3 linked regions of the Oryctolagus cuniculus genome follow. The protein of the gene in region 3 binds, or shares a complex with, the protein of the main gene of each other region. Links are inferred from orthologs where the notes say so. Each region holds a gene or a part of one and is shown on either strand. Other genes may lie near its edges. The genes, in order: EPAS1, HIF1A and EGLN1.

Region 1 (4,089 bases), on a different chromosome or scaffold from region 3:
AAAATGACGGGTATGCCTGTCACAGCGCCGAAACAGACCCTCCCCCTGCCCATCGCTTTATGCAGATTATTCCGACACCAAACGTGGCGAGAGGCTCAAGCCAGGTCCTACACGATGATCTCGGGTCCCAGGGCGGAACCAGCCCTTTTAAAACTCATAACCACAAAGCCCATGGGCCCTTCCCCGGTATGCGGAAACTAGGGGCTTCCCGTGCCCCTTCCCGAGGGGCCGGTGCCGAATTGCGTAACGCAGGTGCAGAGCTGGAGAGCTGCTCAGCGCGGGGCAGAGGCGCGCACCCCAGATGCGCACCTGGGCCCGGCGCAGGGCGCAGGCTACTTGTGAAGCGCGCTGGGCAGTCCCGAGCTCCAACCACATGCAGGAGTCCTGGGAGCGCCCGGCTCTCAACACCTGTAGCCTCTGCGCTCCTAAGACTGCAATGGAACCCCAGAGACACGGGGGCCAAGCCCGAAATCGAGCGACTGGAGGACACGCAGCCAAATCTGTCCCCAAGACCACACTGGGCAGCCTGGCTGACTTCTCCAACGCTGACCTCTCCAGGATCCGCGCGTTGGTTCGGGGGTACAGAGAGCGGGAGGCGGCAGGCCCCACGGCTCCAGGGCCCTCCACCGCCCAGCGCCATAATCACACAGCCCGGTGCAACCCTGCAAAGTACTCAGGTGTTGGCCGAGGGGAGGGACGAGTAGGCGCACCCTGAGCCCAATTTCACGGCACAGTCATCGTTCGCCAGGCAGGACGCGGCCGCCAGGGTCCTCGGAATGACTGCCCCAGGCTGCGGGGACGGGGATGCGGGAGCGCAGCAGAGGGCAGGGGTTGTGCAAGGCCCGGCGGGCGCGGGACACTCTGCACTCGCGGTCCTGCCCTACACCCAAGGGCACGGCGGGGTCGGAAGGGCCTCGACGCGGTGGCGCACTCCCGCTCTCCCCCGCGCTCCCGAGGGCCGGATCCGGGCTGCCGTTTAGCTCCGCACAAGTTGTGCCTCCCTGGCGGCGGGGGTCCCATCCCACATCGACCTCCCCTCAGCCTCGATCTCAAAAACAACTCCCAGGTCTGCGGAGAGAGGAGGCGGGGCGGGCGAGGGCAGGGGGCGGGCCGGGGTCAGGGCAGAGGCGGCGGCCGCGCCTCCCCATTGGCCGGGGCGCAGTGGGCTGCCCGGCGCGCGGCGCGCAGCGCGGCGGGGCGCGGGCGGGCCGGGCGGGGGCGGGGCCTGCCGGCGCGCGCCCGCCCCCGCCCCCGCGCCCGCGCCCCTCGCACCGCCCCCGTGCTGGCAGCCCGCTGGAGTTTTAAAGTGGGCCGGCAGCTGCTGGAACCGCACTTCGGGGAGCGGCCAGCTGCACAGCCTCGGCGCTCGCCGCGCTCCGCCCCAACTCTCCTGAGGCGGCCGTACAATCCTCGGCAGTGTCCTGAGACTGTATGGTCATCTCAGCGGCCGCGCCAGCCCGGCCCGGACTCCTGCCAACGCCAGTCGCTTGGGCAACTTCTTTTAGGAAAACCCAGAAAAGCGACTCCTGCTCTAGGGAAGAGGGAACCTGGGATCCCTTCTCGCGGCTGACAACCTCTTCCCACCCCTTTCCCGACCCCGCCTCCGCGTGCAGGTTCCTCCCCGTCACCTCTCTCCACCCCTTGGCCCCGCACCTATCTGGCCGCCCGCAAGTTTCCACCTGACTGCGCGCGGCGCTCGGCACCTGCAACCACTTAGGATCTTTCACTGTGTCCCGGGCCCCAGGAAGCCCACGAGGACCAGCGCGAAGGCAGCGGCTGCATCCTTCTCTGGCCGGAGAACTCAGGCGCTCGGCGTCTGCGGCGGCCGTGGCGACAATGACAGCTGACAAGGAGAAGAAAAGGTAAGCTGGCGTCAGCGCCAGGGGAGAGCTGGCCTGAAGCCGTGGCCGGACCGCGCGAGCGCTTGGCAGAGGAGTGCGGAAGATCGGCGTGGCTGGTCTTAAGAGCAGGTGTGCCGAGTAGGGACGTGGAGCTGTGCTTGCGCAGCGGAGGGTTCTGTGGCCCCACGGAGACGCGGGGCCGCTAGTGCTAGGAGGCCGAGGGCGACGGCCGGCCGCGGAGTAGCGAGGCGCTTCCCGCGGTGTCTTCCAAATCTCAGGTTCCTGTATGCCACCCTGCCTCGACTAGCAAGTTGAAATGGCCCTGGGGGGATGCCCTCCACTTTATCTGGTCTCACGTGCGGGGGCAGCATCCACGCTTTTCTCTGAACCCTTGGGTCCTTCCAAATGCGTTCCCATGCCCCTGCTGTGCCCCAAGGGGCGGGAGGCAGAGCGCAGCCCCTGGACTGCGCCCCTGGCCAAGGAGCAGGGCCCCGCTCGCCAGGAGACCCCCCCCCTCCCCGCCGCCAACCCTCGCCAAAGCTTTGGAGAACCCCTTCTCCGTCCCCACACCTTTACCCCGCCGGAAAGTGGGTAGTGGGCTGTACTGCCCTTCGGGGACAGGTGTCTCCGTGTGCGGGGAGGAGATGACGACATGGGGCGCCCAGGGCAAGTCCGATGTCCGTCTCCCAAGAGGACAGGAAAGGACAGCCACCATCTGCTCTCCTGCCCTCGCGAGCCTCTCGGCACTGGGTGAGAGGCGACTTCGGCCGACTCTCTCGGCCCTCCTGCCCCCTCCCGGCCACTCCCGGCCGAGCCTCGGCGTGCGAGGGCAGGAGCGGCCGCTCAGTCCCGGGTACGGCCTCAGCACCAGCGAAGGCGGACGCCTCGCCGCCTTGCTCCGTTCTCCCCATCTCTGTCCCTGGGAACTGCGGCTTTCAGACCCGCGCGCTCGAGGCGGCGACCGGCCGGCCCGAGCCGCCGGGGACCCGCGACGAGGCGCCAGCGAGGCGGTGTGGGTAGGGGAGGGCTGACCCGCAGGACTCCGTGCCCGCGTCTATTTGCTGTGGTGCCGACTTCCGATGCGGGACGCGAGCCAGAAGCCCTGTATCCTCGGGTCGAAAGCGGCGGCTCCCACCTCGGGGCATGATAAGGACTAGATAAAAGCGAGCAAATCGCACCCGTCCTGGCGGGGCGCCCGGCCCTTCGCTCGCGGGTCGCTAGAAAGAGGCAGTAGAGCCCCGCACCCCCTTCCCGGCCACAGCCCCCTCCAGCGTCCCCGGAAACGGTAGCAGCACGGTCCTGGGACCCTCGGGGGGCGTCCCTGGAGCCGTGCGTCTTTTTAGCGCGACAAAACCTGGGCGAGCTCCCGATGCGTTTGGTGAACCTGAGGAAAGTGCCAGTGATGACTGCGGGACACTGAAACCCAAAGCTCTGGGCAGCCCCTCTGCTAGCGCGCGGGGCTGCGGAGTGGGCAGGGGACTTGTGCGTTTCACAGCTGCGATGTGGACCGGCGCCGTCGCCGAGGGGCGGCCTGATGGCTGTGGCCCGGTAGTCGCTGGTGGGACGGATGCGTGGAGTGTCCGCGTCTACGCGCTCCTTAGCGCCAGCTCCAGTGCTATTGTGAATATTAACAGTCGCGTGAAACTCGGAAGTGGGGTATGCTTGCGACATGCCGGGTTACAGTGCCACCTCTGTTAGCACCGGCCGAGGGGTGAAGGGAGCCAGAATGGGAGCCGGGGCCAAGTTGCATAATCCCACTGCACAGCTCTGACGAGGGTGGCCGCTTTAAGAACCACTGCGGGGCCAACTGCGAAAGCCGTGGAGGCTGTTTCGAGGGCTTCAGGCTGCCTGGGGGCTGCCCTGTGTGCCCTGCCTGGGCTTCAGAGTCTCAGCGTGGCGGGACCGGCCGCGCGCCCCTTACCATCCATGGAAGGAGTGGTCCATTTCCCGCTGGGCTGAAAAGGGCTGCCTCCCAGGAGCCTTGTGACGCCAAGGGGCTGAGATCCTTGGATAATCCCGGATCAGAGTCCGGTCGCCAAGCCAGCGCCAGATACAGGCACCTTTTGCTCCGCGCTGCGCACGGGTGGAAGGCGAATCAGAGGCATCTGTACCAGAAGTTTTTCAACTGCCCCCCCCCCACACACACACTGGACTTGGTTATTCCTCTGCTCCAGAAAAGTCAGATTCCATCTTTTATCCTACTCTGAAAGGAAAAATATTGCCGGACAGTTTTTCTTTTAATAAATAC
Region 2 (4,231 bases), on a different chromosome or scaffold from region 3:
GAAGCTGTAGAGTGCAGGGCAGATGTTCAAGAAAAGCAACTGATGCTAGATGCCAATGTAGCCCTGGAGGTGCTGTTTTAACAGGAAAGAACTCTTTTCAAGATCCAAATTGAATGTTAGTTTTTTCATTTTTTGGAGATACAGAAAAGATGCATGAAGACAGAAGAGAAACTGAAAGAAATATTTGGAAGAACTTACAAAAAGCATTTTAAGGGTGGTGGAAGTTCAAACTTAAAGCTTAAACAGGTAACATTTACTAGGAAGTACACAAACTGTTACCAAGACTCCCCCATTCCCGACCCTGGGCTAAGTGTTCTACATGCATGATCTCATTTCCCATACATATTAACTGTTAAGATGGCTGCTTCTTATCATCAAAAGGAAAAGTTAGGCATGGACGCATTCAGGACTTGCCCAATTCACAAGTGGAAAGGCTGGCACTCTAACTCAGAGATTCAGGCCTCCAGCTTCTACACTCTTCATCTCTAGCCCTGCTGCTGTTATAAACAAGTCAAACTGCAACAACAAAAGTTTACTAATAAATGACTCTTAGTGGCCAAGGTTAAAAAAGAAAATTTAGAAATGTTTATTCTCAGAGATTTCACTACAATGCTCCAGTAATTATTTGTTTTGGAAAACTCTGAAGGAACCTGACCTGAAGCCTAAAAACAGAACCTCCTGCCATTCCTTTTGAATCTAAAAACCCCTATTATCCTTGTGCTCTCAGTAAGTCCAGCACCTACAACTAAGGAATCAACATGAAACTCCCTGTTAAATCTATTACAACCACACCACTCTGCTCTGATTTCTTTCAATTCTGATTTTCAGCTGCCTTGTCCTCCTCTAAAACTGGGAAAATTCCAAGAAGAAAATCTCCACCTCAATCTGTTACCTTTCAAAAACTTGAAGAAATATTAGTCAGGAAAGGGCATTTTTAATTAACATCATCCAAAAGTTGCTGAGTAATCACTATTTACTGTTTAACTTAAAATTTCAGTTATATTAAGAATCTCCATATTAAGTGTTACGACTACATTCGATCCCAGGTGGTTAAGTTTTCAAATGAGAAAATTTTGAAAATAACAATGGGAATGGGGAAAACCAAAGAATTCATTTAGCGCTGGGGCTGGTGCGCAGTAGTTGCTAATTTATTCACTCACTTATTTTACAGTGGCTTCTGGTATTAACTGAAGAATAGCAAAGAAGAAATCAGTAAAGTATTACATATAAAAAGGAAGTGACTGGTACACAACCTAATGCATTGTGGTAACTATGATTCAGTATATAATAAGGACGGAAAATTGGCACTACACAGAGGTAATCTGCCTTTGGTTTACAATATAGCAGCCTCTTCATTTCATCAAAAACACTGTAATCACTTCTGCAAAATTAATTGCAATTAATTCCTGGTTAACTCTTGAAATTAAATCTAGACTTGTGTGCTCATGTTTTAAATTGTGTAAGTGCTCTCTCCCCGGTGTATATAAACTGAGAATTTTACATTCTATTGAATAGGGACCAAGATAAAGAATCTACAAAACAGCAAGGATATAAACAAGTTTATCTTCCGCTCATACTGATTAGAGAAGTTAATCTCTCCCATAAGAGTGGAAGGACTTAACAGTAAAGCCAGCCTACGTTACTACTCCTACTATATAAATCCTCAATTCCTTAAAATAATTTCCTCAACGGTGAAAATACCAAAGTGGAGAAAATAGGGAGGGGGGTACTGTAAATACCACGGGTTCCACCATTCTTAATCTTTCTATAATGTACCCCTCTTACACTTCACGCTGTTCAATAAACTTGCTTTAAGTCCCAACACAATCTGGATATGTGCTGATGGTTTCCTTCAAATATATTAAAATATCAGGAAAACGAGACAGTTCTGAAAAAAAAAAAATCCTCCAACACTTTAGTGTTGCATTTCGTTTGCTCCGGTCATCTACTTCGCTTTTCAACCTCACTGACACTGTCTGCCTAAATCGAAGCCGCCCGTTACATTTTCACCAAGATATTTTCGGGAATGAATGAGGCACGGATTCCTGCTCATCGTCTGGGCTCCCTGGATCCCAAGTCTCCACTTCCCAAGTTCCCGCTACAGCCTGGCGATGTGCCCCCCAATTCCCGTTACTCCGACTCCCAAGTCTGGGCAAGTTTTTCCAGCCGATTAAAACAACAAAACGAAAAACAAAACCTGCACGTGCAAACTAAAAAGTTAGCATCCGAAGGCCGCCGCGGCCAATCCCCCCACCACGGCACAAAGGCAGCGACACCCGCCGCGGCGGGACCGCCGCAAGGGCCAGCCCAGCCGCGGCCGCCGGGGCCCCGCACCCGCCGGCGAGCCGCGGCCAGCGTGCGGGGCGCCCGGCCCGCGCCTTCCCCGCCACCGGGAGGGAGCGGAAGCTCCGGGTGCGAGCGGCGGCGCCGAGCTGCGGGCTCGGCTTCCAGGCTGGGGCGAAGTCCCCTCCGGACGGGGCCGCGCCGCAAGGCTGGGGCTCCGCGGCGGGCGCGGGGGGCGGCGCGAGGACCCCCGCAGCCCCGGCTGGGGGCGGCGGCGGCGGCGGCGTGCAGACCCCCGGCCCCCTGGAAGCACTTTCGAGGCGTCTCCCACCCCCCACGACAAGATGGCGACGTGGACAGCGGGGGAGCCCGGCCGGCGAGGTTGGGGGAAAGAGAGGGGAGGGGAGAGGAGGCAGAAACAACAAAAAAAAAGGCCGGGCGACCCCCGCCCGCCCAGCGACCCACCCCGGGAGCGCCGCGGCCCGGCGGGCGGGCGGGCGGGGAAGGGGCTTACTTTTTCTTGTCGTTCGCGCCGCCGGCGCCCTCCATGGCGATTCGGTCTCCGCGATGCCTTCCCGGCCGGCGGCCCCCAGGCTCGCTCCGGCCTAAGCGCCGGCTCCCTGCACACGCGGAGAGAGCAGAGCAAGTCCGGGTGGGGGCGGCGGCGGGGGAGGGGTGCGAGGCGGGAAGCTCCTCGCAGAGCAGAGCGGGGCGGCGAGCGCGGAGTCCGGCGCGAGCCTCCGCGCAGGCTGCTTGTCACGGCCCGGCCCGACGCGCTGGGCCCACTCGGCAGCGAGGACGGTCCTCGCGTCCCCTCAGACGAGGCGGCTCTGCGCTCGGCGGAGCTGAGGCAGCGGGCAGGGGGCGGGCAAGGGCGGAGGCGCGCCCGGCCGCGCGGGGAGGGGAGGGGCGGGGCGGGAGCGCGCGCCCCCGCCCCTCGCCTGCCCGCCGAGCCCAGCGCGCGCGCGCGCGCCCCCGCAGGCCCGCCTCACCTGAGGGGGAGGCGGGCTGCTCGGGAGCCAATGGCGAGCGACGCAGGCGGCCAGTGCCCACCCCAGCCCACGTCGCTCTCAGCCAATCCGGAGGCGCTCAGCTGAGGCACAGCTGGGACGCGCCGCGGCGCTCACGTGCCCGTCTGTGTGCGGCCGGGGCGGAGAGAAAGGCGTTGGGGGGTGCGTCTGCGCCGGGACTAGGGGGCACCCAGCGCCTGCCGCTGGGGACGGCGGCGGCGGGCTTGCGGGAGGCGCTGCTGAGGGGAGTTGGCGGCTGCCCGGGCCCGAGGTTGCATCACGTTTTCCCGCTCCCGCGCTCCCCTCAGGCGGCGTAGCCGAGTTCCCTGTGGGAAAGCGCAGCCCTGGCGGCTTGGGCGCGAGCCCCCCGGGTCTCCCCGCTCGGACGCGTTGCGGCGCGGCCTTCCTGCCAGGCTGCCCGCGCTCTGCCGCACGGCACGGGGGACCCCGCGGGGCCCCTGAGGCGTTCTGTCGCGAACTTGTTTAAGTTAATGCCAGGGAAAACCTCACAGACCCGTTGTTGCACGCCTCTCTCCGAGGAAGGAAGGTGTGAAGTTACTGTAGAAACGGCTTTCAGAAGCGAGAATATATAAACCTGCATTTCAGGGAGGGTCGGAAAAATGGCTTTAGGCACACTTTTCTTTGTGCTTTCTTAGCGCTTTTGCAAGACGATCTTGCGTGGATTCAGAAGAGTCTCCTTGAGTTGCGTTCGCGGTGTAGACCGAGTCCGGAACCCAGGCTGCCTCCGGGGCATGGGCCAGAGCCCGCCGGGTTGGAAGGAACCGGGCACGACGGTGCTGGCTAGCACTGCCTGTTTGCTGACAGGACTGCGAGTTACGGAACAAAACTTAAGCACTTTTTTGTCTTTAGAACCATACATTTCAAGCCTCTCAAGTCTTTAAAAAAAAAAAAAACATATTTTGAGCTCCACAAAGAGC
Region 3 (2,959 bases):
TCCCATTTATTTGTATTCACAAGTTAACAAACAGTGTCAACAATTATTGTAGTGAACTGAGGGTATTGCTGGATGAGAGGCTCTATAAGACATCTTTACTGATTGAATCAGAAGGTTTATTGAGTTCAACCCTCACTCCTTTTTCCCCTGCAAGGTAAAAAAATAGATAAAATTCATTTATTCATTAGGCACCAGAGAGCTTCTGCTACTGCTTCCCACTGAATTCCCAACAGTATGGACCAACATCATCTGAAAACTTTTATACTTGCACTTCCAAATGTTATCAGTGGTGTTCTATTATGATGAAGGCATTCATTTCAACTAGTAAAACCTTTAAGGGTAAAACCATCCTCTGTATAGAGAATGATTTCGTCTCCTTTTTATTTTAAAAAGCAATTATTTGTGGGCTCTGCCACAAATAACTACTTTAAAAATACATAGAAAATCCATCAACATTCAATTTGTATGTTGTTTATAAAAGCCTGAAGTGGGATTATCAATGGCTCATGAAAATATGGCTAATCAGTAATGTGAACACTTAATGGACTTTTGGATATACAGGTAGGGTTAAAGAAAAGAAAGCGAGTGGTCCATCAGATGGGAAACTGAGACCAACTGCTCTAGAAGAGAGAGTCCATGAGCGGGGGCAGAGGAGAACTGGTGTAACGAAGAATCTTCAGGTTCGGTACAAGTGTGCTGACCTGTCTGTGTATACCACTGGAGATAATGCAGTCCACATGCCTAAGCTGATTCACTCATTTTGGCATTTCAATTTACCTCCTTTATATTAACTTTCTTCATGTCCCTATTGAACATGGAAGATCGAGGATATTTTTTAAGAGTATGTATGCTTAAAAAAGGAAAGGATATTTACTGCCTTCTTGGGGGCAAACGAGAGGTAGCCAGATGGCCATTAACAAGAGTCAAGTCCCCTGTGACTGAAAAGGATAATCACAGAAAAACTTGGACGATAACTGAATAATTACTCAGATTTTGCCTCAAACTTTCCTAATCTTTTGGCAATTTTGTAGGCTAAATATAATAATGAAGATGACATTAAGGGAAGTCCTTTTTTAAGAAAGGGAATTAATGAATCTGACAAAAACAAGAATTATTCATGGTGTTAAAAAAGACTATACTTGAATTTACTGAAAGCACCACCTGATGGCAGGGTACTTTTGTTCCAGTATACCCTGGCCCCAAATGATGTTTACCTGTTAGATATTTTACTTTAGCTCGTGCTCTCTCATCTGCATCAAAATACCAAACAGTTATTGCGTACCTAAAAGAAAATTTAGAATAGGGTAAGAATGATCACATTGGGGGGTAGGGTAGTGGTATGCTGTTATGATGGTATATTAAAACTTGTGATGCCAAAATTATGCCTAAACTTGAATGATACTAAAGGACAAATGAGTACAACAACTCACTTTTCCAGTAGCCTCAACACTGAAGAGTATAGCAGAGAACCAGGAGAGGCTAAAATTGATGTCACAAAGTTGAGTATTTATGACTTTTTAAACATCTGTTTAAACTGCTTGACTATCTTTTTTGCAACCCCACCACAGAGCAGAAACAGATAACAAAAGGGTAAAAGAATGGCTATTACAGAAACAGCACATTATCCATAGCAGAAGTACTAAATGAAAAAGTGAGAAACAGAAAAGGATTCCATACACAGCAGCCTGGGGCCTTTAGTGAAAGGAGAGTAAGTCTCAAAAGCTTCTGAGAATATCATATTACATTATAGCAAAGTGGAATGATGGATGTTTTTAATTATAACCTGAGTCATCAAGAGGAGTTAAATTATACTAAGACTTTTCTAGAATTTTTATCAAAACAATTATACTATGTTCTGAGGTTTAAAGTGTAGCTAACTTCATTTTTCAGAAAATTACACTTAATTGGACTATCTTATTCCAAAAATAAATGAGGCATCACCAGTTTATAAAATAGTACATGTTAGATCTTCTGATAGGAGCAAGGGGGAAAATGTACAGACACTATAAAATTGAGGGCATGGCACAAATCGTTAATTCTTCAGTAGAGTGCAACAATTAGTTAAAATATCTTACAAATTCTAGTCAATGGTCATGGGGGGCAAGCATGATCGAATGATGACCCCGTATATGTGACAAAACTAAACCAGGAAGCATATTGAAGTAAACAGCCAAATGCAGAGCTGAGTCAGAACCTGAGCACCTGGACAACTCGAGGAGACTGAGGTGCGGATCTCTCACTGGAGAAGGACAGAGCTGCGATCAGAGACGGGTCTGCTGACTGCCACACTCTGCTTTGTCTAGAGTTCAACACCTTTCTTGCCAGGTGGCCTCTTCTATTTTTTTCTGGTGGCCTTGGTAATAGGAAAGGGCTCAGATATATCTGTCTTCTGTCCATGTGACTTAGTAATCAAGAGTTCTAATTTCTGGATCACCTCCCACCATAGCCCCAAGTCCTTACCAGGAAACAACTGTAACCCACCACCTGCCGTTCTCACTCGCCAGCCTTATCGTTTTCCTCACAAATTTCCTCACCACGACTAGGACGATCTTGCCCTTTCTCAGAGCTGCACTAACGCGGCTGGGCTTCTGGCCTCTTTACTGCTCAGTCTAACACCACCTCCTCTTTCTCTCAGGTCCCAGAGTACTTATGTTCCACACGAGTTGACACTGATTTACTATTTCAAACTGTTATTTATTCATCTAAAAAGGATACAATCAAACCAAGCTCAAAATCTCATTGAAAAGAAGGTCTATGAAGCAGTTTCTGGGTCAGAAAACATTTAAAGAGTCTGCAGTGGGAGGTAGAGGCAGGCACTGAGCTTCAGGACGAGGGATGGGATCCAAGAGAAAAGATTCTCTCTGGTTTCCATTTAGGACTTTTTATGATTTCTGGCTACCAACTGTTCAGCCTGCTCCTCTGTGTGAATTAGCGGGAAGGCTGCTTGACTCAGAAAGGA

What was found.
Region 1: the proteins of EGLN1 (region 3) and EPAS1 are in contact, whole or in part, in a crystal structure (PDB 7Q5X), measured with the Homo sapiens proteins. The link is inferred for Oryctolagus cuniculus from reciprocal best matches to the Homo sapiens genes EGLN1 and EPAS1. Residues at the interface, in NP_071334.1 of Homo sapiens: Gln239, Leu240, Val241, Ser242, Lys244, Ile251, Arg252, Trp258, Asp277, Ile280, Arg281, Ile292, Asn293, Gly294, Arg295, Thr296, Lys297, Tyr310, Val311, Arg312, His313, Val314, Asp315, Pro317, Asn318, Asp320, Arg322, Arg370, Trp389, Tyr390; in NP_001421.2 of Homo sapiens: Asp525, Leu526, Glu527, Thr528, Leu529, Ala530, Pro531, Tyr532, Ile533, Pro534, Met535, Asp536, Gly537, Glu538, Asp539, Phe540, Gln541, Leu542.
Region 2: the proteins of EGLN1 (region 3) and HIF1A are in contact, whole or in part, in a crystal structure (PDB 3HQR), measured with the Homo sapiens proteins. The link is inferred for Oryctolagus cuniculus from reciprocal best matches to the Homo sapiens genes EGLN1 and HIF1A. Residues at the interface, in NP_071334.1 of Homo sapiens: Gln239, Leu240, Val241, Ser242, Gln243, Lys244, Ile251, Arg252, Trp258, Lys262, Asp277, Ile280, Arg281, Ile292, Asn293, Gly294, Arg295, Thr296, Lys297, Tyr310, Val311, Arg312, His313, Val314, Asp315, Pro317, Asn318, Asp320, Arg322, Arg370; in NP_001521.1 of Homo sapiens: Leu559, Glu560, Met561, Leu562, Ala563, Pro564, Tyr565, Ile566, Pro567, Met568, Asp570, Asp571, Phe572, Gln573, Leu574.

Annotation. Positions count from the first base shown.
Region 1 is NC_091433.1:156,440,522-156,444,610, reverse strand, and holds the start of EPAS1 (endothelial PAS domain-containing protein 1), read left to right. Parts: upstream 1-1,244; 5' UTR 1,245-1,836; coding exon 1,837-1,862; intron 1,863-4,089.
Region 2 is NC_091451.1:8,816,719-8,820,949, forward strand, and holds the start of HIF1A (hypoxia-inducible factor 1-alpha), read right to left. Parts: upstream 2,932-4,231; 5' UTR 2,833-2,931; coding exon 2,798-2,832; intron 1-2,797.
Region 3 is NC_091444.1:50,885,272-50,888,230, forward strand, and holds part of EGLN1 (egl nine homolog 1), read right to left. Parts: intron 1,283-2,959; coding exon 1,215-1,282; intron 148-1,214; coding exon 83-147; 3' UTR 1-82. UniProt on the Homo sapiens protein: Cellular oxygen sensor that catalyzes, under normoxic conditions, the post-translational formation of 4-hydroxyproline in hypoxia-inducible factor (HIF) alpha proteins.